Linked DNA regions of Drosophila melanogaster. The protein of the gene in region 1 interacts with the protein of each later gene in a pairwise test. Each region holds a gene or a part of one and is shown in the gene's direction. Other genes may lie near its edges.

Region 1 (5,701 bases):
ACGGAAAAGATCCTGATGAATATGCATAAGACACTTACCTGTTACAAACTGTGCAGCGAACGAATCTACTATATCCCTTTACTTTGCGAGTACGGGGTGCTGGGGTGGATTTCAAATGTTCATTGTTCTATAAATATTACTATCCGTATTAACTACCTGATTCAATATAGCTTACAGAGGCTTAGATGTTATTAAGCACGTGTATAACAGACAGAAACAACCAATAGCTTACGGCTTAACATTGGACGCTGCGTCTCGTCCTGATGAATATTCATGATCTCCGGGCATCCTTGCCGACCACTTGAAAGTTAGCCTGCTCTGCAGTTTGTCCGCCATGCCGAAATTATAATTCCAGCTCGCTCGTAACTCGCACAAACGTCAGTCTCATTAATTTTGGGCAAGTTGCAGTTTTAAAATTTAGTGCCGGCCCCCAAGTTAATTAACACCTGAGCCTCGGCAGCCGCCACCAAAGTGGGCGGGAAATGGGCTGGGAAAATCGAGCTGGTTTCAGCCACTTCAGTCACACTTTTGTGCTCGGCAGCCGTGTGCACTGACGCAAAGCGGAAGTGGCACTTTTCCCAGTTGAAGCTGGAGCGGAATTTCAGAATGGATGGGGGGATGGAAAATGGGAGCGGGGAATAAGGAATGGGTAATGGGGATCGGTAGCTGCCAGCAGCAGGCGTATCGAAAACCGAAACTTTTGATGGAAAAAGTTTGCAACAACAAACGCATGTTGGCGGGCAAAACAGGCAAGCTAAAAAGCTGAATAGCCGCGGCAAGGGCGCCTTTAAACCATCAAGTAAGTCGCTATAATTCGCGCGCACCGCCTCATGAATTTTTGATTCTTTCTTAGCATTTTTCACTCCGCCAGTCATTCTATCGCTTTCCATTTAATCTGAGTCTTAGCTTTGAATAATGAGCCCTGGCCAAGGTGCGAAGAACTGGGCCAAACTCGAGGGGGTTATCTATAAGCCGGGTTGATATGAAAAGTTCACACTGGGTAAGTAATTGCCTAATTCGAATGCATCGAAATGATAAAGTGAATTTAGTGTACCTTTCGAAAAATAAAAGTAACAATCTCCCATTAAAAAAACACAAACAGTAGACAGTCTGATTTTCGATATTATTTAAAAGTGAACACATTGTTGCACAATCGGTAAACAAGATCCGGAGTAGATCATCGAGCAAGATGTACAAGTTTTGTTGATGCGCTGAAGGAACTAAAAATGCCACAGAGGCAACTGCGAGTTTTCTCATATTTTTTTCCGCCGACTCTGCACTTTCTTTAAAAACCGCTGACTGATGCATGCTGATGACTTTGTCAACAACTTAAATTGTTTGGTGGCAATAAAGTGGACTGAAGTTTAAGTACATTTAGGACAGAAGGCAGCTTTCATTTTCTTCTAATGCAAACAAGTTAGCCCAGCTAAGCAGGATACATAATGCAATCAAATTAACTAGCGCTTGATACGTACTCAAAATCATTTTAAAATCCCTTTTTTAATTCCATCGTTTGTAGATGTATATGGACAGAACAATTAAAAGCATGCAAAAATTATAAAGAACACATAAGCCAACGAAATTAAAGTTTTGCAAAAAAGTATATGGCCTTGAGTCTTCCTCAGTTAATATTTCCATATTAGAGTCGTTATGAATCGCATCGGTTTGTTCTTGGTCCACTCCGTTGAGGGTGCAACTATCTCTATCCAATAAGACATCTTTTTCTTCACTTTAAATAAACAAATTATCACTTTAATGCTTTTGAAATACTTTCAAATAAGTATTATACCCCATTTTTTTGGAGGCACTCTGATCTTTTCAGCTTGAAGGCTCTGTATAAACTGGATGAAGGCACTCATCTGCAAACATGAAAAAATATTCAAGGGAATCGAATTCAAGAACGGAGGCACACTGTACTAAAATCTTTCGGATCGTATGCAGCTTGCACCATTAAAAATGATAATATATTGACAAATTTTTAAGGGACTACCGTCCTAAGTAAAACTATATAAGAGGTATCTGTAAAGTAAGTCTGAGATCACAAGTACATTCATTAGATAAATAACTAAAATTAGTGTAAGAAAAAATATGAACTAATAAAATAATTATTTAAGAAAATTTCTGAGAGGAGTAAACTCACCATAAGAACCCTAGAAAGGGTATTTGTAAGTAAAAACCAAAGCTTTCAGAGAATTTGACTGAAACTAAGAGACAACATTAAAGAGAACCTCTCAAGACGGAAATATATACAGCTGCGGTTAAAATAATAGCACTACTGGAGGTGGAAAGTTCATTTCCTAAAAATAATTATTAAATGTTTATATTTTTTAAAGTCAGATTGCATGAATAATAAGTACCATATGTTGGCTCTCTGAGCAAGAAATTTATGGTCTCTCAATGTAAAGGTTCTTTTTGTTTTTGGGCACTTGCTGCAAAAGTGCGCGAAATGAGGCGGTAACAAAAATAGCACTGACCACGTATTTGCTGAATAATAGAGTGATTGCTTTGGGTTTTTTTCGACAAATTTTGAAAAAGGAGTTGTATTAAAGGTTTTAATTGAATTTTTTCCAAACGAAGACCAAAAGTTCTCTAGTCATGGGTCGCGGCAAGCATTTTACCGTCGAAAAAAGAAATTTGATTAAAAACATGATCTCTAAAGGTAAAAAATACGCTGAAATTGGTGGCATTGTGGGTTGTTCAAGCTAAATGATCCGCAAAGCACTGCTGTTTGTCGAAAAGAACGAAACACGGCGAAGAAAGCCCTCAATGTCGCTTGGTTAGGCAAGGCAAGAAGGAGCCTTTAAAGCCGGCGACGGAACTGAAGAAGGAGCTTCAGATAGCTGAAAGCGGGGAAACTGACAAAAAAGAGAATCTCTCAAGACGGAAACAGAGTGCCAGAAGTATATAAGTACTGAAATGCCTAATATATGAATGTAAAACATTTATCGCTTTTAATAGATTGTTATCAAAGTTGATAGGGTTTGATGATTCGTAAGTAAGCATAAATTGATAACGTAGAACAAATTGATCTCTCTTCGCAATCTCTTACTTCAATGTGATTTTCTTGTCATTTTGAGACTCTTCTCCGCTCTCGTTTGACGGGTTTTCTCAGACTTATATAGTTATCTTATCTGAGTCACAAGCAACAAAAAGAAGATTGTCAGCTCTTGACGGTTCACTGTTTGCCTTGTTGTTGCCTCAATTACCACCTTCTGCCGTGGCGATAATAACCCAGACCCCAAACTGATTGGTAATCATGAAAAAGAGGGAAGGAAAAAACCGCTGAAAATGCCCGGAGACCAGCGAATCGCTCTTTAGTCGAGAGCAGAACGCGTTTTGAAATGGACACGGATGAGACTAAGGCTGGAACCTCGGGTCCGGGGACGTACCACGATGAGGTTGACTTTACCAGCGGATACGAGACTCAGTATAAGAAGGAGTACAGCCCGCTGAAACCGATTTTTGTACCGCCGCCGGATAAAAAGCACGCCTGGTTTCGCAACTGGTCCACCATACTGATGGTCAGCTTCCTGTCCGGGGTGTTTATTCTGGGAACCGTGATGCTGGTGGTCCAAGTTTTCACCGCCAGTCCCCTGCAGATCTTCATGATCGTGGCTATATATGTGGCTATAGCCGCTGTGATGATTTGGCTGGAGGTGCAGTCTATAAAAGTGCGGTGAAATAATATGTACGTGTCGTGACTAATTTAGAGCGTTATCGCACTTACGAGCTACGTTCTGTTTTCAAACAGTGGCAATCGAACTGTGTTCTGCTAGCAAATGCAAAGCTTAACTAAAAAGGAAGCGGCTTTACTGATTAGGCGCTAAGAACAAAAAATCATGATTTAATATAAGTTCAAAGTAAAGAAAGAAATCCCATAATCCATGTGTTTTATTTTTGACTAGACAGTGCTTTTAACGTTTTCCGATAATTCCGGTTCAATTAACTAATTATTTACGGCCCATAAATGAACGTAATCTAGAGAGCGAAACAAGGTGGCCAGATAAAGGGCTTTGTGTGAGATAAGCAAACAAAAGTGAACGAAAGAATCACGAATTCAAGCCATTTAACTGCAAAATAAATACGCATTTTGTTTGTCGATGTATAAAGGACAAATGTTGTAGTGACACATTAAAGCTCCATACATCACAGAGATTAACAAAGCAAAGTACATAAAAAAGATTCCCTTATCAATTAACTAATTAAATTAAGCACGCTAATTAAAAATTCATTAATAGCGGCTTAGCGATGGAGAGTGGAAATTCAATTATTTAACGCTGTTGTTTATTAAAGGAAGTGTCACAAACCGCATCTGCGCCGGTGTTTGGCACACAAAATTATTAAAATTATTTCCACTCTCACTTGAAAAAGAAAAAATACAACGAATTTTCAACTATGCCAGTTCCCAATGGAAATAGTTCTCTAAATATTTTCACATTTGCATTTTTCTAAATCACTTCTGTAATTGCTTTTCACATGCCACTGCTGGAAAAACTCCGACTCCCTCAGAATTTTCCATGTTTTTACAACAGTTTTCTCACTTGTGTGTGCCATCAAGTTGGTAAAATTCTAGTTTAATAGCTTGAAATGTTACGAACATTTGGTCAGCGTAAAAACAGCCGGACAAGCTTATTTCTCACTTGGAAATTCTAAAAAAAAAAAACGTTGTCCCATTAAACTTTAATTTCCGTTGACAATGGACGACACTTTTTGCTCTTTCCGTTTTTTGGCCCCACTCGAGACGGAGGCAACAGCTGACTTACCTTAATTACTCACAGGATTCCGAGCCGTGCTAATTATTTGCAGGGTGCACTTTTCAGACGGAGTGCAGAAGTCGCCAGCGCATTTAATTATAATGGCGCAAAGGGCGTCGAGCTTAGGCATTAATGCCATTTCCGGTCGCCGACCACCGGATGCCACGGCGCCGAAACCGCCCCGCGGACACTTTGTAATGCCATGGAGCAAAAAACCGGGTTGGAAATGATTTCACAAATAAAAAGCAGTAGCAGATATAACATTTTAATATCAAGGAAATGTCGTTTAAATACATACAACTGAATATTTATCGGATTTATGGCACTACATGCATACAAATAAAGTAATTTCTAGCATTGAGCAAAAGAATCAAACAAATGTGGCTATATTTGTAATTAAGCCCGCCATATCTTAAATCTTAATTCGAAACTGCCTTCAATACATTTTTGAATGTAGCGACTAAGTATGCAGTAGAATAAGGAAAAACGTTTTAACTAAAGGTGCCGCAAAGCGGTGCTTAAACCGTTTTGTGATAAACAACAATACAACCTTGAGCCAAAACAAGAAAAACGTTCGATATGCACATGCATTATTTTGCATTGATTTATTGCTCGATTGCCTGCTGGCTCAATATTGTACATAAAAGGCATTTAAACAAAAGCTGTCTTCCATTTTATTTCTGCCACTTTTTAAATATTTAAATCACAGCATTTTCCACAAGCGGGCAGCACCTCCATTATTCAGAGCTCGTACAAGCCGGGTAAAAAGGACACAAATGAGAAACTCAATTGCAAAGCGAGTGAAGGACAACTGTGGAAATGCAAATAAAATGTTTGGCTGCAACAGAAGCAGAATCCTAAGCTGCCCTCGGGAGCCAAGACATCTGACTCCACAGCCATGTTGGTCACTGCCAGGGGAATGTGTCTTAGAATTTGTTTAAGTAAAT
Region 2 (7,136 bases), 7.8 Mb from region 1:
CAAGTACTCCAAGTAGGAGTAGGCGAAGGCTCGGAAGAAACAATTGCCATCGGGGCGGGTGCGGCGAATGAACTTGTACTTTTTGGACAGATCCTGGATCTTGGCGGTGAAGATCTCGTCGCCACTGTATTCCGCATACAAGCAGGTGAGTGGCAACTGCTCGCTGACCAAGGGAGTTGTGTCGCTGATCTGCAATTATTGAAATTCGGCATTATTTCTCGGTTCATTGTCGCTATTGTGTGTAAGTGTTTCTGCAGACTCACCTCTTTTTCAATATCCCGTTTCTGCTGAATTATTAGTTCGTCGCGATTGCCATCATTATGGGTAAACGGCTCCATGTTTCTCTGAATACTGAACAACTGCGATCGGCGCTTCCTTTCAATTTACTTTACTTTGTATTCATTTGATGAACTAAAAAGAATTCCTGTTCATCATATGTATGTGTAGGCGCATCAAATGTCACACACACAGGTCTAGAGGCGAAACTCACGGACACACTGATGCTTTCGATTTTGTCGCACAGCTATCGTTATCGGGCTTCAATTCCAGTTGTTCCTTGGCTCGAGAATAAAAATAAATAAATATTTGAAATCGCATTTTACAAACACGCTAAACCATTAAAACGGTTTTTAATAACAAATATACGTACATAATTTGTGTATGTTTATTATCTATAAATTTATAAAATAAAATAAAACTTTGAACTGGTTTTCCGCTGTGTAATACGTAAGCTGGGAACTTCAATTGGAACCAGCTTTCAAAGCTTCTCGTCAGAAGATCATCGGCTGAGACTTAAGATTGAATAAGAAATCAATTCAGTTGAGTGTTTTCTTCATTGCTCAGCGAACGTTGCGCTACTTTGATAAATTAAGTAAGTCTTACTAATAGAGTACACTTTATACTAAATAAAATTGGACTCAAATTCAATTTATTGAAAATGTGTAGTTCAGTTATGTGGATATCTGATAGAGTTTAATCTTTTTGGTGGTTTCTATGTCTTGTAACATCTACAATACATTTTTCATCCATATATGTATGTACATGTGTATATACATATTTTAATCAATCAAAAAGATCTTAAAGTTCAATGAATAAAGTGTACAAAATATCACCGCCTCACGTACTTTTATGAGCACAAATCAGCGGCAATGGGAATACATTTATATATGTTAATGAAGAAGAATTGTATAATGCTAAGTTTACTCGAAACTAAAACCAGTTTTTGCCCTATTTTATTTGCAAGGAACATATTGTTAGCAAAAATGGTGAACCTTTGTGTGTAAATGGCAATTAATTAGTGTGTTATAACTTATTATTAACTCTTGCGAAAAATGGAGGGATTGCGCTTACACATAAGAAACTATTTTTGTGTTTTAAAGTAATTATACATGCTTTGTTTTTATTGACAGCGAAAATTGACCCACCGCAATACATTAGCATTTCTTATCGCCAAAAGTCATATTTAAACAAAAAAGCAATCAGGATTGATAATGAGGCGATCTAAAAGAAACAATACGTACATATGTATATATTTGCTCGGAATTTTAGTATTCAAAAAAGAAAGCAAAGCCTCACTGATAAGACAATACATTCTAGAGTTAATTAGGTTAATTGTTCGCCGCATAAACATAAACGTATTCGTATCCGCGTCTCCCTTCCATTAAAATGTGTCACTCTGTTTTGGGGGAATCACATTCACCTTTTATCCGGTTTAAGTGCGATATTCCAGCAATAACAATCATTATTATATTACCAATACTCGAGCTTTACTCACTTTGCTTACCTTCATCTTCATCTCTTTCCTCGAATAAGTGAGCTTTCTGACCTTAATTATGTAAATATGTAAAGAGCATGATTTAATTTTGCTTTCCAGGAATATGATATTACTAAATTGCCTAGTAATATGCCTGTGCATATTTTCCTGTGGTGCCCAGGACTCTTCCTTGGACAAATTGATATCGGACATCTTTAAAACGGACGAAACACCCAAACCATCATCCCCTCCCCCGCCAGTGGTGAACCCCAAGGATTCGTCCGGTAGCACGGGATCCGAAAACGGAGGATCGAGTTCAACGCAGTACCAGTCCTGTGGCGATCAAAAGGAGTGTGTTCCTCGCTGGTTGTGCGCCAATGATACGATTAACACCAGTGGCGATGGTATCATTGACATTCGACTTGGTACGGACGCCGAATGCAAGAACTATTTGGATCTTTGCTGTGATCTGCCCAACAAGGTAACACATACATAAATACCAATAAGCTTTGATTACTTAAATTAAACTATAATTTTATTTGTTAAGAGAAAAGATCCGATTTTCGAGTTTAAGCCTGATCATCCCGAGGGCTGCGGTTACCAAAATCCCAACGGCGTTGGCTTTAAGATCACTGGAGCTGTCAACCAGGAGGCCGAATTCGGCGAATTCCCCTGGATGCTGGCCATTCTCCGGGAAGAAGGCAACCTTAACCTGTACGAATGTGGAGGAGCATTGATAGCTCCCAATGTGGTTCTGACCGCGGCGCATTGCGTTCACAACAAACAGCCCAGTAGCATTGTTGGTAAGTGTACATGCCATCTATGCCATCTATGAGATCTAATTATGAACTGGCATTTAGTGAGAGCTGGCGAATGGGATACGCAAACGCAGACTGAGATCAGAAGGCACGAAGACCGATATGTCAAGGAAATAATCTACCATGAGCAGTTCAACAAGGGATCGCTCTATAACGATGTGGCTGTCATGCTGTTGGAAAGTCCATTCACCCTCCAGGAGAACATTCAGACCGTTTGCCTGCCCAATGTGGGTGATAAATTCGATTTCGATCGCTGCTATGCCACCGGCTGGGGCAAGAACAAGTTCGGCAAGGATGGGGAATATCAGGTTATCCTGAAGAAGGTCGACATGCCCGTGGTGCCCGAGCAGCAGTGCGAGACGAATCTGCGCGAAACTCGACTCGGCAGGCATTTCATTCTGCACGACAGCTTCATTTGCGCCGGCGGTGAGAAGGACAAGGACACCTGCAAGGGTGATGGTGGCTCCCCACTGGTGTGTCCAATTGCTGGCCAGAAGAACCGCTTCAAGTCCGCCGGCATTGTTGCCTGGGGCATCGGATGCGGCGAGGTGAACATTCCCGGAGTGTACGCCAGCGTGGCCAAGCTTCGTCCGTGGATCGACGCCAAGTTGAAGATTTGGAGTATTGACCCCAGGCACTATACACCCTAAGAGCAAAATTGTCACTTGAATTTGTGGGTTTTAATCTTCATGCTTCACAATGCTCTCACTTAATATATGCCCAATATGTTAATACTCAAAATTAAAAAAAAAAAAAATCTTTTTATTTTAAGCTGAAAAAATATTTTCGGAACAGTGGAAAAGGAATAGGCTAACAAAAATTGAATTCAGTTGGCAGCAATTTTGAGCTTATCGATGTCAATTTCAGTCGGAGCACCTGGTCACACTGTCGTCGGTGTGCATGGGGAATAAGAACAAGAAAGATTAGATTCGTGCAGGCCAACGTATTTGCTCTAAATAGAATATCTGCAGAAACATGGACAACTTCGGACTGGGCGGATCGGATCTAAGCAAGGGGCAGATATTCCAGGTACTGGTTCGCCTGTCTGTGGCCTCGCTGATCACATATTATTCGGTGAAATGGATGATGAACCAGATGGATCCGACCAGTAAAAACAAGAAAAAGGCCAAAGTTCTGGCTGAGGAGCAGCTTAAGAGGTTTATATTAGACTCATATAGCATATATTGTACATGTGTAAACCTTTTCCATGCAGGCTAGCCGAGCAGGAGGGCTTCAAGCTAAGAGGGCAAGAGTTTAGCGACTACGAGCTTATGATTGCGTCACATCTTGTTGTTCCCGCCGACATAACAGTCAGTTGGGCCGATATCGCCGGTCTGGATTCAGTCATTCAGGAGCTCCGGGAATCGGTGGTGCTGCCAATCCAGCACAAGGATCTCTTCAAGCATTCGAAGCTGTGGCAGGCGCCCAAAGGCGTCCTGCTCCATGGACCACCGGGCTGTGGAAAGACGCTGATAGCGAAGGCGACGGCAAAAGAGGCGGGAATGCGCTTTATCAACTTGGACGTCGCCATTCTTACCGACAAGTGGTACGGGGAATCCCAGAAATTGACTTCTGCTGTCTTCTCGCTTGCATCGCGAATCGAGCCATGCATTATTTTTATTGACGAAATAGACTCATTTTTGCGATCTCGAAACATGAACGACCACGAGGCTACCGCCATGATGAAGACCCAGTTTATGATGCTGTGGGATGGCCTCAGCACGAACGCCAACTCGACGGTGATTGTGATGGGTGCCACGAACAGGCCGCAGGATTTAGACAAGGCCATTGTGCGCCGCATGCCAGCCCAATTCCACATTGGTCTGCCCTCGGAGACCCAACGAAAAGACATCCTGAAGCTGATCCTCCAATCGGAGGAAGTAAGTCAGGATGTCGACTTGAATCGCTTGTCCAAGCTCACAAATGGCTTCTCGGGCTCAGACCTGCGGGAAATGTGCCGGAATGCTTCAGTTTACCGAATGAGGCAGCTCATCACGTCCAGAGATCCGTCAGCTACAGCGCTTGATCGCAACAACGTCCGCATCACCATGGACGATTTGCTGGGCTCGCACTTAAAAATTAAGGAATCAAAGATGCACACGAGCAGCCTATTCTTAGAGAATAGAATCGAATTAGATTAAGCTGACCATTGTTTATTCAAGCTCCCGATATATCCAACTTAAATTTGTATAATAAACTTTTTATTTGCCTTTCGAGAGGAGCTCCAATGTTATGTGTTAATTAACCCTGTTCTCTGCATTCCAAAATGGGTATCCGGAAAACGTAGTTTTGGTAGTCTTGAAAACAGCAACGGATACTGCAGGAAATTACACAATCCATAGCATTTCCGTAAAGCGGAGCTCAATGCACTTTAATTATTACATTTACGGGCTTCTGTGAAATATTCACCTAGAGAAATTTCAAACATTTATAAAGATATTGCACTTGTACACTTCTTCAAACACACACACAACTTGCGTCACGCGACCGTGGGCTTTCAATCGTAAAAAAAAATATAAGTAAACTTGTGCAGTTTTATTCTCTTTTAAAAAGGTCGTTTATTTCTGACGGCATTTCAAAGCTACACATTTGTATATCTAATTAAAAATGAATAAAAACATGCATACATTTTAAATAATCAAACCAAAACAAATTAGTTCTTGATGTTTTTGTATAATTTCTTAATTTAAGAAAAATATAGAGTGTACAAACTTCAAGCGAAGAAATTTGCTTCTGCACATTTTAATTATGTTTCGTGCTCATATAAATACTTTCTTCGATTGGCTCAAATCATTTCTGTTGAAGGCGTTGATTAAACCACTTCAAATCCAAGCGAGACTATATACTTAACAAAAAATGAACCCAATGGTAAGCTATATTTCCAATTTGTCTTTTTGATAGGAGATATTTTGTATGTACATACTTCATTTACGCGCATCCTTTCTATTTCAGTTAACTTTGATTCCTGGATACCTATTCATAACCTTAATAATTATTGGAAGTACTGCACACAGTAATTCCTATGCTGTGAATAAAACCAATAGTGTCGAAAGTGCCGAGTGGAGCTATCCTGAATACGGAAAAGGATCTACTCACAATACCGGAAGAAGATCGGAAAAGCTGGATCTGCAACATTATAATCGGGAAACCGAACGCAATGTGACTTTGAAACGCGGTGTGAAAAACTATCAAAAGCAAGGCGATAAAATGACGAGGAATAAACTGAAATATAAGCCATCTGGTGCTCGAAGAAAAAATGTGAGTCCCAATTATGCGGATGAGAGTACGGAAAGTAGGCATTATCATACATTCGAAGAGATCCACGAGCATATCGATGAGGACGATGGTCAATACCAGGCATCCGAACAGGTCGGAACACAAGCGATTCTGCACGAACATGTCGAGCACTCGAGTAAGAAGGATGCGAAGCGGATGAAGGTGAAAATCAAGCATCATCATCACCACCATCATCACAACCACATAAAGGAGCTGATCAAAACAGTACCACAACCGTATCCCGTGGAAAAGGTCGTCCATGTGCCCATTGAGAAAATTGTCGAGAAGATCGTACATGTGCCCAAGCTGGTGAATGTTACAGTTGAGAAAATAGTGCACGTGCCTATCGAAAAGATAGTGGAAAAGGTGATTCACATCCCAAAGCCAGTCCAAGTGCCCAAACCATATGTGGTCGAAAAGATAATTGAGAAAATAGTCCACGTACCGAAACCGTATCCAGTGCTCCGGACTGTTCCGTATCCGGTCGAAATAAAGGTGCCAGTTCATCTCGAGAAGAAGGTACCAGTGCCCTATAAGGTTGAGGTAGAACGAAAGGTTCCCGTTTACATTCGTTCCAGCGAGCCATATAAGTTCGAGTCATCATCACTCTACGAAAGTTATCCACGCGGCGAGGAGTTCAAATTTAACATGGAAATGGATCATCCACCGCCCAGAGAACACGAACCATCCAGCCTACCATCCTCAAACTACTACAACAGGATATACAAATCTAGGGAATTGGATCATCCTCCGAGGATGGAGGACTATCAAAGCTCCGTGCCCACACAGTTAAAGCACGATTACGCAACGAAAACTAATCTCGATCAGCAGTTTAAAAACGAGTACGTGACGAAAAGTAGTATTGATCCTCAATTTAAGCACGATTACGTGACGAAAAGTAGTATTGATCCTCAATTTAAGCACGATTACGTGACGAAAAGTAGTATTGATCCTCAATTTAAGCACGATTACGTAACAAAAAGTAGTTTTGATTCGCAGTATAACCAGGAATACGTACCCAAAACTAGCATTGAATCGACTTCTCCTGGACGGGATGGGGTTTCCCTGAAACTCGTCGGTCCCCCTACTCCTTTCAATATCACGGGAAAGGATTTGGAGACCGCCAACTCTGCTCCAGACTTTGTCAATAGCTCCAACGTAGACCTAAGTCCACAGGAATCGGCTAATGCCTATCGCGGTATGCCATTCTCCATACCATTTCAGTTTGTACAACTCCAACCAATGGCCTTTCAAAGTCCTATACATGTGGAACTGCCAATCCAATCCGC
Region 3 (7,565 bases), on another chromosome or scaffold:
CTCACAAAAGGGAGGGGTGCACATTGGGCACATTGGGATCTTGACAGGCACGAGACTGAGTATTTATGTATATATGGCGGGGGGAAAAACATTCCCGAATTACGAAATTCATTCTACGAATTTGGTCGAGTAGTGAACTCTGTACGAAGCATCCCAGTGACCCTCAATCAGCTCCTGGATTTCCTCTCACGCAACGAGAGTGGAAGTTTTTTTTGCAAGGACTTTACGTAACGAGACAGGCGTGTGGGTTCGGGTGCACGAGGGGGAGGCTCGCCATTGATGAATGAAGAATAACGGCACGTTTGGCTCTCCCGCGCCAGTCACTACGCAAACACCTTACGTCGCTCGTAAACGAGAGCGTGACCGAGCAGATCGTGCCGCCCGTCGCCCCTCCATCTTCGTTTCTGTTGTTGCTGCCCGGTGAGTGGTGTGTTAGTTAGTTACTTGCTTTCGTAGAGCGTTCCGGACGGGGTAGAGGGGTCCAGACGGCGGGAAAGGGGCCTGGGTTCAGCTTGGGATTAGCTAGTCTAACTTAATGTAATCTAGTTTGTACTGTGGTCACGCACGGCGTCCGCATCTCACGCCCTCCTCCGTTCGCTGGGCTTCCGTATCTCGTATCTGACTGAGTGAGGCATCCAGACGGCCCCAAAACGCCAGAACGCCAATACGAAATGTTTTGCACACTCAGCTGTTCGAGATTAGCGAGCGAAGCTTTCGCGCAGCTTTTTACATACGCTTTTTTAAAGACCCATTCAAGCAGGTGCTATATGGAAATCGTTGGGAATAATAGTGCAAATAGACATCGATTTGCATTCGAGCTCGGCAACAACCTTATGAGAATGCGGATTTTTTGATAAGAACACTATTACTGATATCCTGGTTTTCTGCCAGTTTTTTGTTCACCACAACGTAAATAACAGCCCCATCATTAAGTGCCATACCTCGTTGCACTCGCAATAAAAATTGCAATCGAATGGCGTTCCAGGCTGGAAATGAAAATTTTTTTACATTTTTCGCAAAATTTCTTGATGTTATCCCTTATCGAAATTGCAAAATTTTGGAAAAAAATAAATTTTTCAAAATCAGCAGGAAAGTGATATGGGTCGTTAGTTGGGATCGTAAGCTGCACAAAACTGTAAGTTTTTTGGCTGTGTGGTTTTTTTTTGCAAAGTTATGGTGTATCACTCCCGTAATGTACATGGGTTTTCTATAGGCCTTTTTTTATAAAAAAAATTATAGGTTTTATCTGTACAGCTGCTAAAATATTGGAAAGAGTGGATTGTCCGTTGTTAGAAATCAAAGTCATATGTTTTTCTTTGTTTTATTCCCGTGTAAAATACCAAATGCGTTAGGGTTTTTTACTGACCGCCGCCACAGCCACTCCATTCCAAACCAAAAATGCGAGGGAGCTGGCCCAGGCTTGGGTTCCCGGCGCTGCTCCTGCTCCTCCATCTGCTGACCGGCTCGGATGCCGCCGTCCGGAATGGGACTGCAAAGCGGGAAATTGGCGATTCCCGGGGAAGCAGCGGCACCTGCGTCAAAGGGTTCCTGCAGGAGATCCTGCCACTGCCAGCGACTTGTCCGCCTGAGGTGCTCGGGATGAGGGGCGCCGTGTATATCCTTTACGACGTAAACATCTCCGAGGGCTTCAACCTGCGCCGAGACGTCTATATTCGCATGGCGGTGTTCGTGCGCCGGCTGCAGAGGAGAAGGCGCTTTCGCCATGTGCGCCTTGTGCTGCCGCCGTGGCCCCGCCTCTACCACTGGCACTCGCAGGGCCTGCAGCAATCTGGACTGCCCTGGAGCCACTTCTTCGACTTGGCCAGTCTGCGTCGCTACGCGCCCGTTCTGGACTACGAGGAATTCCTGGCCGAACAGCGCTTATTCGGCAATCCTGGCGCACCGCTGGTCCATGTAGGGCACGCTTTCCGGTTGCAGCACTACGAGGTCATGCTAGAACAGGGCATATTTCGGGACAAGTTCGAGCGCGTCACGGACAAGCCGTGCAGCGAGGGATCCCTGTCGGGAGGACCATTGCTGCAGCAGGCGGAGCTGCGCGTGGGGCGTTTCCACTGCGTTCGGTTCCAGGGCAGCGCCGGACTGCTGGAGAAGTTGCTTCGCGAGGCGATCGACGAGGACACGGCGGGACCGGAGGACGTCGACGACATGCGCACGTACGCTTTGCTCAGCGCCGAAACGGTGCTTCACGACCACTGGGGCGACGAGCACTTTTGGCAGGCCCGGCGTTCCATGCGTTTCGCCCGTCGGCTCGAACAGGTGGCCGCCGACTTCCGACGGCAGGCCCTGGACACCACAGATGCTTCGGCCGGTGTCCAACGGCCCGCCATGTGGGAGCTGGAGCGGCCGAAGCGCAACGCCAAGGGCGGCGATTACCTCTGCGCCCACCTAAGGCGGGGCGACTTTGTTCGCTCGCGGGATGCGACCACTCCCACCCTGAAGGCGGCTGCCCAGCAGGTCAAGCAGCTGCTGCGCGGGTTTAACATGACCACAGTGTTCCTGGCCACTGACGCCACGCCATACGAGCTGATGGAACTAAAGGAGCTCTTCTACCGCTTCCGCCTCGTGCACTTCGCGCCGGAGTCGAATGTCCAACGAAGGGAGCTGAAGGATGGGGGCGTGGCGGTGGTGGACCAGCTGGTCTGCGCCTACGCCCGCTACTTTGTGGGCACCTACGAGAGCACCTTCACGTACCGCATCTACGAGGAGCGCGAGATCCTCGGCTTTACCCAGGCCAGCACCTTTAACACGTTCTGCAAGGCCTTAGGCGGCAGCTGCTCGCGCAACGCCGTGTGGCCCATTGTGTGGGCGGATGGCGATAGCGACAGCGAGGAAGATTCCGACCCGTACTGATCCATCTGTAGCTCCCACCTGACATCTCAAGACCTAGTTTTAAGTCCAAAGCCAACGTAAGAGAGCAAACGGGATTCCGAACCACCTGCGATTGTGTACCAAAAATAAATCTAAAGCCAACAGAAAAGTGCTAGCAGAAAAGTCAATTATAATGTGTAATGTTCAGAGGGTAAATGTTTAAATTTACCCGCTCCTTTAGCGTTGCCACATTCCAAAAAATGCAAATTGAAATTTAAACTCGACCTGTAAATATCGATTGACGACAGGAATCGAATCTCGCCATATCGATTTCACGATAGACCTCGATAGCATTTCGGGCAAACATTGCACGTGTTTTTGACAATCAAAATAATTATTTCTTCTGTGGATTTGCGAATATAGTGACTGCGCCATGGGCAAAAAGAACAAGGGCGGCGCCCCCAACCTGGGCCGCCAGTTGATCAAGGATCGTTTCGGACACACTCAGCGCCGCAAGGTGGACAACGACACGATGGTAAGAGCACTCGTAGAAAATACATACATATGCATTCGATCTTACACTGTGAACACGGTTTCGATCCTTACCAGCTGCACACCACCGAGCTGCAGGATGGCTACGACTGGGGCCGCCTCAACCTGTCCTCTGTCACTGAGGAGTCGTCGTTCCAGGCCTTCCTGCGCACGGCTGAGCTGGCCGGCACTGAGTTCCAGGCCGAGAAGCTGAACATCACGTTCGTGAACCCCAAGCAGCGCGTTGGACTGCTGAGCAAGACGCAGGAGCAGCGCATGCACCAGAAGCACGACGAGCACCGTGACCAGCTCAAGATCCCGCGGCGGCCCAAGTGGACCAAGGAGACGAGCGCCGAGGAGCTAGTGCGAGCCGAGAACGAGGCATTTCTCGACTGGCGCCGCGACCTGGCGCTGCTGCAGGAGGACGAGGAGATCTTGATGACTCCGTATGAGAAGAACCTGGAGTTCTGGCGGCAGCTGTGGCGCGTAGTGGAGCGATCTGACGTCGTTGTGCAGATCGTAGACGCCCGTAATCCGCTGCTGTTCCGCAGCGCCGACCTTGAGCGCTACGTAAAGGAGGTGGAACCTAGCAAGATGAACATGATCCTGGTAAACAAGTCGGACCTGCTCACTGAGGAACAGCGTCGCCACTGGGCGGAGTACTTTGACAGCGAGGGTATTCGCACGGCCTTCTACTCGGCCACGCTGGTAGAGGAGGAGTTGAAGCGGGAGGCGGAGGAGTGCCTGGATTCCTTTCCCGAGGTGCAACAGCTGCGCAGAGCAGTTGAGGAGATAAAACAGTCGTTGGATAGCGTGGAGGACGCTTTGAACGTTATCGAGCAGAAATATAAGACGATTCCCGAGACTCAAAACGATGAGCTGCCACGATTGCCCGGGGACAAGAACAGTCCCCGACTGCTGTCCCGCCTGGAGCTCATTGAGTTCCTGCGAAACATCTACACCGGTCCCCGGCACACAGAGCAGCACGTGACCGTCGGAATGGTCGGCTACCCAAACGTTGGCAAAAGTAGCACCATCAACTCGCTGATGACAGTGAAGAAGGTGTCCGTTTCGGCCACGCCGGGCAAAACTAAACGCTTCCAGACGCTTTTCCTGGACAAGGACATACTGCTCTGCGACTGTCCCGGTCTGGTGATGCCGAGTTTTGTGTTAACCAAGGCGGACATGTTGCTCAACGGCATCCTGCCCATTGACCAAATGCGCGATCACGTTCCCGCCGTCAACTTGCTGTGCGAGCGCATTCCGCGCCACGTCCTTGAAGACAAATACGGTATTGTGATAGCCAAGCCGCTGGAAGGCGAGGACATGGAAAGGCCACCGCATTCGGAGGAGCTGCTGCTGGCTTATGGATGTAAGTGCCAATGCTTTGCGCACGCATTTCAGTATTTCACAACGCACTCTTTCTCGCTCTTTTCCAGACAATCGCGGTTTTATGACCTCCAACGGGCAGCCGGATCAGGCGCGTTCCGCCAGGTATGTGCTTAAAGACTACGTCAATGGCAGACTGCTCTACGCCATGAGCCCGCCCTCTGTACCGCAGACCGAGTATCACACCTTTCCCGAACGCCAGCGCAGGGTCATCGAGGAATCACAGCTGCCCGGCCAACAGCAGCGAGCCATGCGGGTGAGATTTGCCCTTTGCACTAGACGTGATTCCTTTGCTAACTGATCGCGTTTTCCGCAGATCAACAAAAGCACGTCCAAGGAGCTAGACAACCAATTCTTCTCCGACAAGCCTACGCACGCCCACGTCAAAGGACGCACTAACTTCCCTAACGTGCGCCTGGCCAACGACGGGTCCCTAGTAGCCGGCAATGATCCGGCGGCCAAGCCCTGGCGTCATGTGAAGAAGGAGAGGCGCGAGAAGCTGCGCAAAAAGTTCTCGCACCTGGACGAGCACTGATTGTAGCCCATTAGTTATTTATTCCGAAGGGTGTGTCTAAGAGGCACTTGTACATTTTAAGCATTAAACCTACGTATATACATATATATTAAAGTCCCCCCGACTTCGAGAGTTTGAAGGCCCACAATCTCAGACTGAAAGAGTTATATTGCGCAACTAGCAGATTGAGAGAAACATAGATAAGCCATCTGATGGCCCAGCCTGGACACAACGATTAACACAAAGATAGCATATATTTAGCATACACACCAATGAAAGCAAACTGTTGTTGGAATGGCGCCCCCAATTGAGTTTAAGAGATGCGTGAATGGAAGGTAATTTCGAGATGCGGAGGAGCGCAGTTGCGCGGAGAAAAGAAGCCTGCACTTTGACCGCGTGATAAGCGCAGATGCTTACGGCTCTTGTCTTCTATCACTTGGCCACAGTCTCTATCACGCAGTCTTCAGCGATGGCCACAAACGAGAGCTGCAAGCACTTCAGGGAGCTGGTCGTCGAACAGCGTTCTGGGCTGCTCCACATACGCTTCCAGCGGCGCTGGCAACGCCGAACCCTCTACGAGCTGATGCGCGCCCTGGACCTGGCGAGTGCAGACGCCGCCGTTAAGGTGGTCGTGCTCTCGGGCGAGTTTTCTGCAGCATGTGGCGGTGAGATGGAACCGTTGGCTCTCAAACAGGGTCTGGAGAATAGGAGTAGGCGTACCGCTTCCCACGAAGAAGCTGTGGGCAGTGGTGATGCCGAGGAGCAGTACATCCATGAGAAGGCGGCCAATTTTGTGATGCGCTCGCTGGCCAAGAAGCTGCTTGTGCACCGCAAACTCCTAGTGGCTTTTGTGGAGAGGCAGTGCGTCGGTCTGGGCCTGAGCGTGTGCAGCCTGTGCGATCTGGTCTTCGCAACGGAGTTATCTGCCTTTGTGCCCGCTTTCTCGCACCTGGATCCCTGCACCAAGGTGGGTCCCGGCTGGACTGTGCCACACGTCCACTGGCTGCTTCGTCTGGGCGATCAAGCGAGCTCCAGCATTGCCCTCCAGTGTGGCCTTGTGGCCAGTGTGGTGCGAGAGCCGCAGGAGTTTTGGCACCGCGTCGACCAATACTTGCGCTTGCCTTCCGCCTCCCTGTTGGCGACAAAGCGCCTCCTGTTTCGTCCCTGGCAGGACTCCCTCTTGGCCGAATTGCGCGAGGAGGGCACTCCGCTGGCTGCGCAGCGACGCCGCTTGGCCAGATCCTCGCTGTAGGGTTGCGCTTCCAGATCCGTTGAATCGATTAAGTAAATAAATAGCGATTATAAAATAATGACATGTCCCCATGGTATTTCTTTTCATTCCTTTCATTGGAGCTCCATGACTTAACTTAAACTTTAAATCAAAATCTGCAACGGAAACGGGTATGCATATACAGATGGGCAGCACTGTTTTCGATATCTTTCGACTGGAAGGCACAGCTGATTGCCGGCGCGTGTTGTTTTTTTTTTGTTGCTCGCCGCAAAACTGCGAAAGTAAAATCTCGTAATTTTGGGGAAGATTAATTAACTTGGGCAAAATGCAGCGAGCACGACTGTTGCGGAACGTGTGGCTCTGCAGGCAGCGCTTGGGCCATCTGCCAGGACGCAGCGCTTCCTCCGCCAGCCTGGCATTCCGTTATGCAACGAAGCCTGCGGCGCCAGCGGTGCCGTTCTCGCTGCTCCAGATGCGATCCCTGGGAACGGGTGGCGTCCTCAGTGCGGTGGAGCGAAGAAGCCGGCGCCCCGCCTCCTCCTCTGAAAAACCGAAAGCCAGCGTGGCGGATGCGTGGACACAGCTGGAGGCGTACTACCGGCAGCACGATCTGATCAACTTTGAGCACTGCCAGCGCCTGCTGGAGCTCCTGCAGGAGTCTGCGTCGCCGCTAGGAGTCGGCATCGAAGAGGTGCACTTCCTTCTAGGGTCCTGTGTGCCCGAACTGCTTCCTGCTCAGAGCAGCCAGGAGCGTCTTCAGCTCTTCAAGGGACTCTGGGCTCAACTGATCAAGTTGGGCCAGCCCACGCTGGCACATTACCACACGAAGCTCCAGGTGCTGCGCCAGAACCGTTTGCCTCTGACTGACTATCGCTCGTTGCTGGCGGAGATTGCCGTCTACCATGGAGCAGCCGATTCCACCTTGTACGGCGCTCTTTTGGACGTGGCCGGCGCCGCCGGAAACATGCGCATGGCCACCGAGATTTTGTCGGAGATGCGCGAGCGCAGCCTCGCCCTCACGGAGCACAACTTTCACGCCCTGCTTTTGGGCCACGCCCGCAGCGGTGATCT
Region 4 (9,550 bases), on another chromosome or scaffold:
CTTTCCCGAGGCAGATTGGTCCTACCTTTTGAAGATTCTACTGATGAGGGATGCCTATCTCACTGGCATTATAATGCGCCACCTGATGCAGTACTTACCCTCATCGGAAAACTTCAAAAACGTGGCAAAGATTTCGTTTACAAGCGCTGAGGGTGCCCCTCAAAAGTGCGAGGCATTTTTGTGTCGTGGAGAGTGCTTTAATGTCACAGATTCTATAGCTGGAGATATTGGTAAGATCTAGAATTTTATTGTCTAGAATTTGTAACTTAAATGTTACTTATTACTTTCATACAGATCCAGTTGGTCAGTCCAACTACCAGATCGTCCTATCTCTCACCTATTTGGTGGTGGCTGTGGGCAAGGCAGTAGATATCAAGTCCTGCCTTATCAAAACACTGGAGGAACACGCGATTGCAGGATGGAGTGATTGCCTGGACAAGCGACAGGTGTGGAACCAGAAGCGAACACCCTGGTTAGAGGCCATCATGCACTTCATGTACCCTGTTCTCGATTGTGTGGTGGATATGTTGGTGAATGCCGTGGAGAACGGAGCCAGTATGTACCAGGCCATGTCCTTGGCCCTAACGTGTGTCTCTGAGATCTGGGATTGCCTGCCCGAGGGGCTGTACAAAATTGCCTCCTTGCTGCAGGACATCATTCCAGTATCCACCAGGCCGTTGGGAGATTCAGTGCTGTTGCAGGTGGTTTTTGCTGCACTCTATACAGAATTGATCAAAACAGCAGAGATGTATGAGCAGGGTATGTAAACTTTTCATACACCTTCCTTGATTTTTTTTATTTACATCCTATTATGATTAGCTAAAGATCTGGACAAGGCTGCCATCTGTTACTCCATATCGGAGGCCATCTGCTCCATTGACGAGGATGACAAGCATACGGATCAGATCGAGCTGTTTCTTAAACAGGCCAAAGAGAGTATCAACTTGGACACGGACTTTGGTGGAACTGCAGGGTCCAATAACCGAGGGGCTGGGGGAATGAGTGCCGTGAGTACCATCAAAATGGACGACTTGGCCCTGACCAATGCGGAGTCCGATCGCCTGAGCCACAGTCCACCCAACAACTATGCCATGGAACTGGATGTGGGAATCGCTGATTACATAGCCGAAGTCCTGGTCAGCGATGTTTTGACCACAAATATCGGAAAACAGGCCCTGAAAGTGGTATACAACTATTTGAAGTTCAACAAGGACTGGCTGCTCGAGCAACTGGGAACTGGCGACAATGACCCCAGTCCTTTCCAAGGCATACAGGGTCAGAACATCAAGGAGGCCAAGACCTCGGTGCTGAGGTCCATGTTCTTCATTGGGAACACCCCCTTTGACCAGCTGCTCACAGGCTCTTTGAAAATCGACTACGTCAGTTGGTTGCAGATGCCGCTGTCCTTGAATCCGGAACGGACCTGTCTGCACTTAAACAGACGCTGCGATTTCCAGGAGGATGCCAAGCTGTCACTGCCCGAGGTGGCCATGGTGGCCGGGATTACCAAGATAATGAAGCGGCGCAAGGAGTTTCCCAAGTGAGCGGCGCGGAAAGCGTCATTAAGACGGAATGCACTTAAAAAAATGAATAGTGATGCAGACGCTATGCAAATGAGAAAAATTAGAACAGCTATCAAAGTGAGGAGGACACCAAATTGGATCAATAAATTATAAAAAGCCTTTTTTAAATGGCTACAAAGTAATTAACTCTAACCATATCTAAAAGACATTAACTAACAAACAAACATTACAATAAATGTAAAATTTTGTTTTTGCAAATTACAACTTTTTTCATTGTGTACAGTGTAAGACCAATTGCAAGCATAGAAGACCTGGACAAACGACTCCAACTGCAGGAGGCGGTATCAAGGACGACCTTCAGAAGTATTTCGCTAGAATCCTCGAGCTGTTCCTTAAGGAAATTAACTTTTCAGAGTGTGGGGCATCTGTGAATTATGTCGTAGATGGCGGCGACAGTGGAGACTTTCCTTGGGGCGACGGCTGCCACTTTGGATGTCATTAACGCCGCATAATGCAAACAAGCCTGACGACAGACACCTTAGCAAATGCACAGGACAATAAGCGGAGGAGCTAAAAAAATATTTACTCGTGCTTCCCCTCTCCTGAATTTGGCCCCCATTTAATTTATGAGGATGAGGGCGGTGTAGCAACCGAAAATGTTTTTGTCCACATTCTGCGTACTCGTCCGCCTCTTGGCAATTGCTCAGCTTTGCTCCTGGTTGTCTTTTGAGCTTCTTTACACCTCCCGCCGCTCCGCTCACCATTCAGCCAGTTATGAAAATTACTGAAACGTGGCCAAAGACGGGTGCGGGGATCCACAGGACCTGCAGGACGAGGGCACGCACACACAGAGCCGCTTGAGCAGTGGCAACAACATGAGGCACTGGCTTCACACACAGGACAACGTGACAAATAAAATCAAGCTGGCTTTGAGCAGTGGGCCGAGAATCCTGTTTTAGGCTTAAAACTTCAATATTTGTAATAGTTAAAGATTATCTTTACACCTGGTAGAATATTTATCAAGTGCATATAAGTAAGATTTTCGTTGTGTAAAATCGTAGGTAAATTTCATACTTCCCTCTTCTTTTACATTTGGAAAAATCGTAATCAAGTAAGCATTCGGGTGGGAATATATTTAAATCACACACAATATTAAGCTCTCGCCCATGGTGCCTTCTTGTAAAAAACCGCAGGACTATAAAGACTGACCCAATGCGCTACGCTACACAATAAATCGCGAGAGGAAACACTTTTTACAAAAAAAAAGAGATAAAACATACAAACAGTTCTAATTAAAATACTGAAGACAAAAAGAAAATTAATTATTTATTTGAGTTCCTTAATTATATTAACAATGTAATTCAAAAATTGTATTCCTACTACAATACTAAAAAAAAACCAAGTTAAATAACTTCTGATTGAAATTAAAGCATTATTCTAGTTAAAAATCAGCCCTATATTCTTGCTTTCAATTAATATATTTCAAGAGCATAGTTTTAAAGAATTCTCATACTGCCAACGCCAAATAAGTTTTCAAATACAAATGATAGTGGATGTCAAAAACAGCTAACCAATTAAAAACATCTTTAAAACAACATGGATAAATTTTGCGGTCTCCATAAATCTCAGCATTAAATCGCAAAAACGCATTTAAAAAGAAATAAACACTACGCGTTCGTTCTCGTAACAAATCAACTTAGCAGTTTCGAATGCAGCGCCGCCCCATTGGCTGGTATTTGGCTACAAAGTCAGTGGCAGTAGGAAAAGCAATGGGAAAAGCAGCCTGAGCGGCGACTCTGGATCCTGACTCCGAAAATAGAAACGAATCCTGGCCGGTCCTTTCATTCAGTTTCATTCTGCTGGCGCCGCTGGAAGCGTGCGGACGTTCGTTGTTTAGAGCTCGGCCATAAAGTCGTGTGGCAAAGTGGCACTTGACAAAAATAAAAAAAGTTACAAACCTTCAACAACAATAAGAAAAATATTTAATAAAAAAAATATATATTATAGAGGGCACACAACGTGCGGGGGCAAAGTGCAAATGGTAACGGTAATTTGCAGACATTAGTTGCCACACACACACACACACACACACACAAGCAAACGGTGCGGTGATTAAAGGCAATGGAAGGAGAGGTGCGAAAAATGTCACATTACGAATACGCAGTGTGTGCCCGAGTTAAATGGTGAAATTTAAAAGCTGTGCGAGCTGGAATTGAAAATATTTATCGCAAAGTTGTTTGGCCACTTAGTATGCCAGGCACGTAGTGCATTTTTGTGATGTGGATACGGCTCTTTGATTGTTTTATTAGCGATTCCCTTGGACAGGACCTAAAACGTCAGTTTCGGATGAGAGTATTTAAAGTTATGGAGGATTAGAAAGTAGTACATTGAAAATTTGAATTTAACCAAAAACTAAAATTGTTCTAAAGTGAAATTAAAAACGAATAAATATATTAAATAAATTGGAAATTAAGTAAGTGGAGCTTACACATTAATCAAAAATTTAAATGCTATGGCTTCGACTTTTGTCATCAGTAATAACGAAGGAGAAGAAAAACTTGAGCTCCAATAAATAAGATATTAAGAATAAAGCCGCACTTTTGGCGATTCATAAAACAAATATAGATAGAAATTCATAAAGTAAATATCTATATATATATATATATAACCAAGTCAGCCATGAGCCAGATGCAACTGCAATCGCAGCGCGTTCGCCGCGCCCGTCATCATCGCCGCAATCAGTCCGCAGAGCCGTGCGAGTGCCTTCGTCCTGTGATAAGGGTTTTTGGTCTGCTGACTTCATTCGGTAAGCTCAAGTGCGCGGAAATCCGAGCCAGTGGAATAAGACTTGTCGGTGCCGGTGCCCAGGTGACCCCCGTTTCGAGATAATGCCAATCTCGATACGAGGCTATGATGCATGTGCATGTGCATGCATTTATGTATGAATGTGCAATGCTTTTCTGGCCCTTATTTGGAATGTTTACCCTTGACAAATCGTAGGAAATACTTGTGCATGGGAACCATTGCCTCGGGATATGTTGAGTGCTGTGGCTTATTATATTTCTTGGCACTGAATGGGATTCGCAAGACGAAGACGATGCTGAATGGGGACACGCTCTTATTGGCTGCTTTTATTGTTCCTTTCAATTCATATAATATTACTCTTTGAGCAATATTTTCATTGTACACAAAGGTTTTGCATTTGTTTGAGAAGACTGGCAAAATAAATGTACATAAAAGGAAATGGTTTTCCATATTCACAGAGCACATATAGCACAGAATATGTGCTCTAATGAACAGGATATTTGACCTAATGTAATTTGGTAAAATAAATAAATGCCATCCAATACTACTGAAATTCCAGTTTAGCTTAACAATTAAATAGAACACAGAGAGTAAATTGGTAGAAGATTAATTTCCCTTTTTTTGCGTCATTTAATTACAATTCAATTATGCTTTTTTTGTACAACCCAGCTTTGTGTTACATTTTTTCCGTTTAAATTGAGGCAATAATTTTAGATTGACAGCCTGAAATTTAATGGCATTTCGTTTGTCAATTTACGAAGTCAAATTTAATTTATTAAACAGGCAAGGTAAAGTGAAGCAAAAACTTAATAAATAATAATATTACCTTTCTGAAATGAATTCAGTTTGGTTGCACAACGTAACTTTTTCACCCTGTATCCGCATTCTAATCTACGAAAATGCAATCACATTTTTTCATCCCAATTTTTCTGCCATCTGGTGAAGTTATCAAAGTTGGCTTAAACGCTTATCGTGGCCAATCATAACGATTTTCCTCCACCATCTGACATTTTCCTAATGCGCTTAAGATAGTGCACCGCCGTTTTTTTATACAGAATTTGATAAATCGCCCAGCTGCAGGCAGGCCAACAAAAACTTCGGGTCAAGTTCAAACTAATTTCTTTGCAAATTGTTTTGGGGTCCATCATGGGTGCAGTGGCACGCAGGAAAACAAAGTATAAAATCTCTGTAGTTCATAAGCTCCGCATTATAGGGATCGGGTAAGAGGGATGGGGTTTTCCAAGGAAACTCTCTGGCAGAGCCATTAACAAGGCATTGGCCTCTATGCAGCTTGCAGCTTGCAGCTCACGACTGGCATCCTGTGCCAAGAGCAGAGTTTTCCCAGCCCGATTTTCCCCTTATCAGCAACTTTTCCATACGGTCGACAATGAGCTGTGTTGTTAGCCTTTAGGCGCCAGCCATTCGCCAAGTTTTCCTCTTGCCCGGCATCTATTTTTCCCCCACCGCTTTCAATTATCCAGATAATTTTTGCATGTTTTTTCGATTTCCGCTTTTTCAATTTTTATCTCCGTTGACAGCATTTAATGTAATTGGTTTGGTTTCGGTTCTGCAGTTGTGCTTAAATATGGGGCATACATATACATATATCTAACTGGCTAATCTGATTGGTTTTTCGCGACCCGGCATAATAAAAACAACTTAATTAGATTGTATTTTTATGGACCACTGGGCGTGGTGGCTCCATAACCACATCTAACCATATCTTATACACTCAAAGTGGATTTGGCTAAGACAAAATGTGAAGCGGAACCATAATGTGGTTAGAATATGAATGCCCTGCGGAGGGCTGTTCGACAAAAATATAGAAACCTTTTAAGTTATAAAATTTAAGTTCGTCATGAATATTGAAGTTTCTTCCAAGCTATTTATTATTAATTATCATTATGTTATTTCGTAATGTGTAGGACATTGCCTTCTTAAAATACTCTATTGCAAATGATGTAAGCTTCAGTAAAATTGCGATAAACTTCTTGAGCTCACCTCGTTTCCATTCATTGGTTTTGTATTACATTTTATGGCCAAAGCATGGTAAACAAAAAAGGCCCAGCTCAATAAATATGCTTATAAATATATTTGCCTAGACACACTCACATTATTTTATAGGCTCGTTCAAGGATAACACTCCTCGTTTCAACCCGCCAAAAAGGACCCCCCGCACCGAACCTTTCTTTAGCCATTTTTCATTTCAGTTATCTGCGGCGTTGGCGTTGATGTCTACATGCATGGCTATCGGGCCGGTCTTTATATAGTGTAAGTCACGGATCTAAATATCCCCCATAACTATACTAATTTCTGGTTAGTTTTTCAGCCGTGCTGGTAATGTTTATCGAGATCAAGTGGCTTGTGACTATCTTCCTGCAACTTCAGTGCGCAGAGTAAGAAAACTATTCAAGATTACCAAATAACATGTTCATAAATTATAGTTATTCGTATATATATTATTTGATAATTAGCAGTTATTATTTATGAAATATAGAAATTCTAGTTACCAAGCCTAGTAGTTGTAAAACTAATTAAACCCTAATTATACTATAATATGATATACTTTACTATTATATACAATACTCTATATCAAGTGCCTTTGCTCAGATTTTTCTCTGCAAATTTTTCTCTGTTCACATATTTGTGAATTCAATTTGTTTCAGGGATAATTACCAGCGAAGGTCCTGCAGCTGCTTGGCCTGCTGGCGACTTTCAGCGATTTGTGGCGGTTGGCGACCCACTCCTGTTTATGCGGTCATCGGCATCTGCCTGATCCTGTATCCCCACAATCTGTGGCTGAGTTATGTGGCCGGGATGTTCCTGATACTCCTCGGACTCCTCAGACTGTGCACGCTGCTCCGATTCAGCGCCTCGAAGGAGGAGGGTCTCCTGCCGCAGTGCGACTTTGAAAAGTGATGCCAGCCAACGAATGTCTTTGTTATTTGTTTCTAATGTCTGTTTGTTCTGCGATGATAGGGTGTCGAGCTTTGTGGATACCATGGAGGATGATTTCGCGGAGATTGGTGCCACGCAAGCGGGATTGGATGAGGAAGCGGAGGAGGAGGGCGACGACCACACCGCCCTAGACGACGATGTTTGCTAATAGTTTAAGCCAGCTTTTCTGCCTAATGTAATGTGAGATTTTAAACGACTTAACAAATGTCTAATAATATACAGTTTGTAAAGAGGTTTCGATTTAAACGCTGAGTGCGTGGTATATTTTTATAGGTAATCGATAAACCCACACTTTGTATGATTTTTGGTGTCATTTATAAACGAAGCCACTCAAAAGTCAAAAAGGACATTCTTCAAAAGAATTTTGAAAGTTCCTTTTAAGTATTGGGTATCTGCTTTTTACCTACAGAAATAATTATCAAAGCTATTTCGTTTTAAATAATGTTATTTTAATTTCGTCTTTTATTGTTTTTTGTGCTAAACGGATTTCTGCGTTCACTAAAGGCCAAAATGAAGGGCTGGTCGTCGAATTCTTCGGTTTTTCTCAGACCAAAAGAACGCTCATTGCCGTAATCATACTCGTCCTCATCATAGTAGTTATAGTAGTGCCTCTGGTGGCCTTTAGGGCCTCCATGTCCATGTGATGGAGGAGGAGGAGGTGGAGGATACGGATACGGTGGATATGAACCTCCGGGATATCCAGGAGGACCCTGAGGACCAGGTTGGCCAGGGATTCCAGGCATCCCGGGGTGGCCCTTATCTCCACGCGGCCCCTTCTCGCCGGGATCACCCTTGGATCCTTTGGGGCCGGGATAGCCCTTCTGCCCCGGCTGTCCCGGTGGACCAGGTGGACCTGGAGGACCGGGCGGACAACCGCATGGCTGTGGCTGAGGATACGGATACGAATAGCTTGGCGGATAGTGTGGCGGATGATAATGTTGATGATCGTGATCCTCCTCTATGATCACTTCCTGTGGCGGGGCTGGAGCGGGACTTCCAGTTTGGAGGGTGATCAGCCGGGGCACTGAGGCATCATCCTTGGCGAAAACTCCCCCAAGAACAGACAGTAGTGCCACCAGCAGAATAGTCCAGTTCGCAGAGAGAACTTCCAGATTCGACGACATGCTGTGAACTAACGAAAATCAGATCGCAGTCACTTCTTTTATGTGGATAAATGCGTTTGAAAAATGGCAACAGAGGAGAATCATTCAAACTCCCGTTAAGATAGCTCATTTGAGATCTATATGTCTTGTCTTACGATCGCATTATATTTGTATCGTATGCTAATTTCTCTTGTTTAATAAACCAAGCCATTTATTTATAAAGTATCTGATTTGCATAATATTCAATGAATGAGTTGAGTTTTTGGGCTGATGAAAGAACTTTCACACCAAATGGATGTCGGACTTTGTGATCGAGCCATGAAAAGTGAATTCTCGTATTCTAGGATAGATCAATTAACAGGTATATGTATATCATTTCTGCGCGTAAAAATAACATAAACTTTTACACAAATTTCATATGGAACCAGAGCAATGACTGGTGGTGACCGAGATGATGATTTTTACATTTAAACGGAAACATTAACCATTTTGAATAACTAATGTGTAATTTGCTAACACCTGAGATACCACCTGTCCGTCCCTGTGAAGCACAAAAGAAAACACTTTCGAGACATGCTAAGAATGTCTGTTCGCAATTTTATTTAACTGTGGCTTCTTTATTATTCTTTTGTAAGTGTAAAGTGGAACTCATGATGACAAGAGCCCCGCCCACATAAACCTCAACAAATTTCTGGTTTTTGGGCAGATCTCATAACACTTTTTGCATACTCACGCTTCAGTCTAAGTCATTTGGATTTGTGGACATTAGTTATGTTCGAGAAGTTTCTGTTTTTGTTAACATATGTATGTAAATAGTTGTAACTTTTAAAGTTCGTTTTATTTGTTGTTTTGCTTTTGTTTTACACATGTTTGCTATGCAATAAACATATTAAATAGTTTCTTTAATTATAAATTTACTTTGTTTAACTATTATTCTCTCTTATTCGTGTTTTCGGTCGGAAAACGTTGAGGTAGCTGCGTTTGCAATTAATTGTTATAAGTAGCTATTCGCTTGTTTATATCCCTGATATAGGCTATTTAAGGTTCTGTTGTGGATAAGAAGAGCTCAAATTGTATTCATTATTATTCAGACAATACATAGATAATTGAAAGAATCAACCGAAAAGGAATAACTAAAGTTTATGTTTATTTTATTTTGTA

The links.
Region 2: the proteins of CG15152 (region 1) and nmd interact in a two-hybrid assay, tested with the Drosophila melanogaster proteins (one large-scale study listed by BioGRID).
Region 3: the proteins of CG15152 (region 1) and Ns3 interact in a two-hybrid assay, tested with the Drosophila melanogaster proteins (one large-scale study listed by BioGRID).
Region 4: the proteins of CG15152 (region 1) and CG14086 interact in a two-hybrid assay, tested with the Drosophila melanogaster proteins (one large-scale study listed by BioGRID).

The regions. Positions count from the first base shown.
Region 1 is NT_033779.5:18,111,342-18,117,042, forward strand, and holds CG15152 (uncharacterized protein), read left to right. Parts: upstream 1-3,205; 5' UTR 3,206-3,341; coding exon 3,342-3,680; 3' UTR 3,681-3,879; downstream 3,880-5,701. Other genes in the region: CG44476 (uncharacterized protein), read right to left, coding at 1,501-1,729, 1,790-1,794.
Region 2 is NT_033779.5:10,300,247-10,307,382, reverse strand, and holds nmd (no mitochondrial derivative), read left to right. Parts: upstream 1-3,435; 5' UTR 3,436-3,546; coding exon 3,547-3,728; intron 3,729-3,784; coding exon 3,785-4,712; 3' UTR 4,713-5,210; downstream 5,211-7,136. Other genes in the region: CG4968 (uncharacterized protein), read right to left, coding at 1-189, 264-338; CG5390 (uncharacterized protein), read left to right, coding at 1,878-2,234, 2,301-2,556, 2,614-3,221; CG13138 (uncharacterized protein), read left to right, coding at 5,428-5,439, 5,524-7,136.
Region 3 is NC_004354.4:1,459,813-1,467,377, reverse strand, and holds Ns3 (nucleostemin 3), read left to right. Parts: upstream 1-3,157; 5' UTR 3,158-3,262; coding exon 3,263-3,364; intron 3,365-3,438; coding exon 3,439-4,732; intron 4,733-4,799; coding exon 4,800-5,005; intron 5,006-5,065; coding exon 5,066-5,284; 3' UTR 5,285-5,534; downstream 5,535-7,565. Other genes in the region: O-fut2 (O-fucosyltransferase 2), read left to right, coding at 1,399-2,871; CG14787 (uncharacterized protein), read left to right, coding at 5,733-6,515; Lrpprc2 (Leucine-rich pentatricopeptide repeat containing 2), read left to right, coding at 6,820-7,565. UniProt on the Drosophila melanogaster protein: GTPase required for the nuclear export of the 60S ribosomal subunit. Probably acts by mediating the release of Nmd3 from the 60S ribosomal subunit after export into the cytoplasm.
Region 4 is NT_037436.4:19,272,391-19,281,940, forward strand, and holds CG14086 (uncharacterized protein), read left to right. Parts: upstream 1-3,400; 5' UTR 3,401-4,202; coding exon 4,203-4,329; intron 4,330-6,538; coding exon 6,539-6,599; intron 6,600-6,649; coding exon 6,650-6,724; intron 6,725-6,994; coding exon 6,995-7,243; intron 7,244-7,307; coding exon 7,308-7,434; 3' UTR 7,435-7,529; downstream 7,530-9,550. Other genes in the region: CG14085 (uncharacterized protein), read left to right, coding at 1-230, 295-759, 820-1,544; CG14089 (uncharacterized protein), read right to left, coding at 7,736-8,410.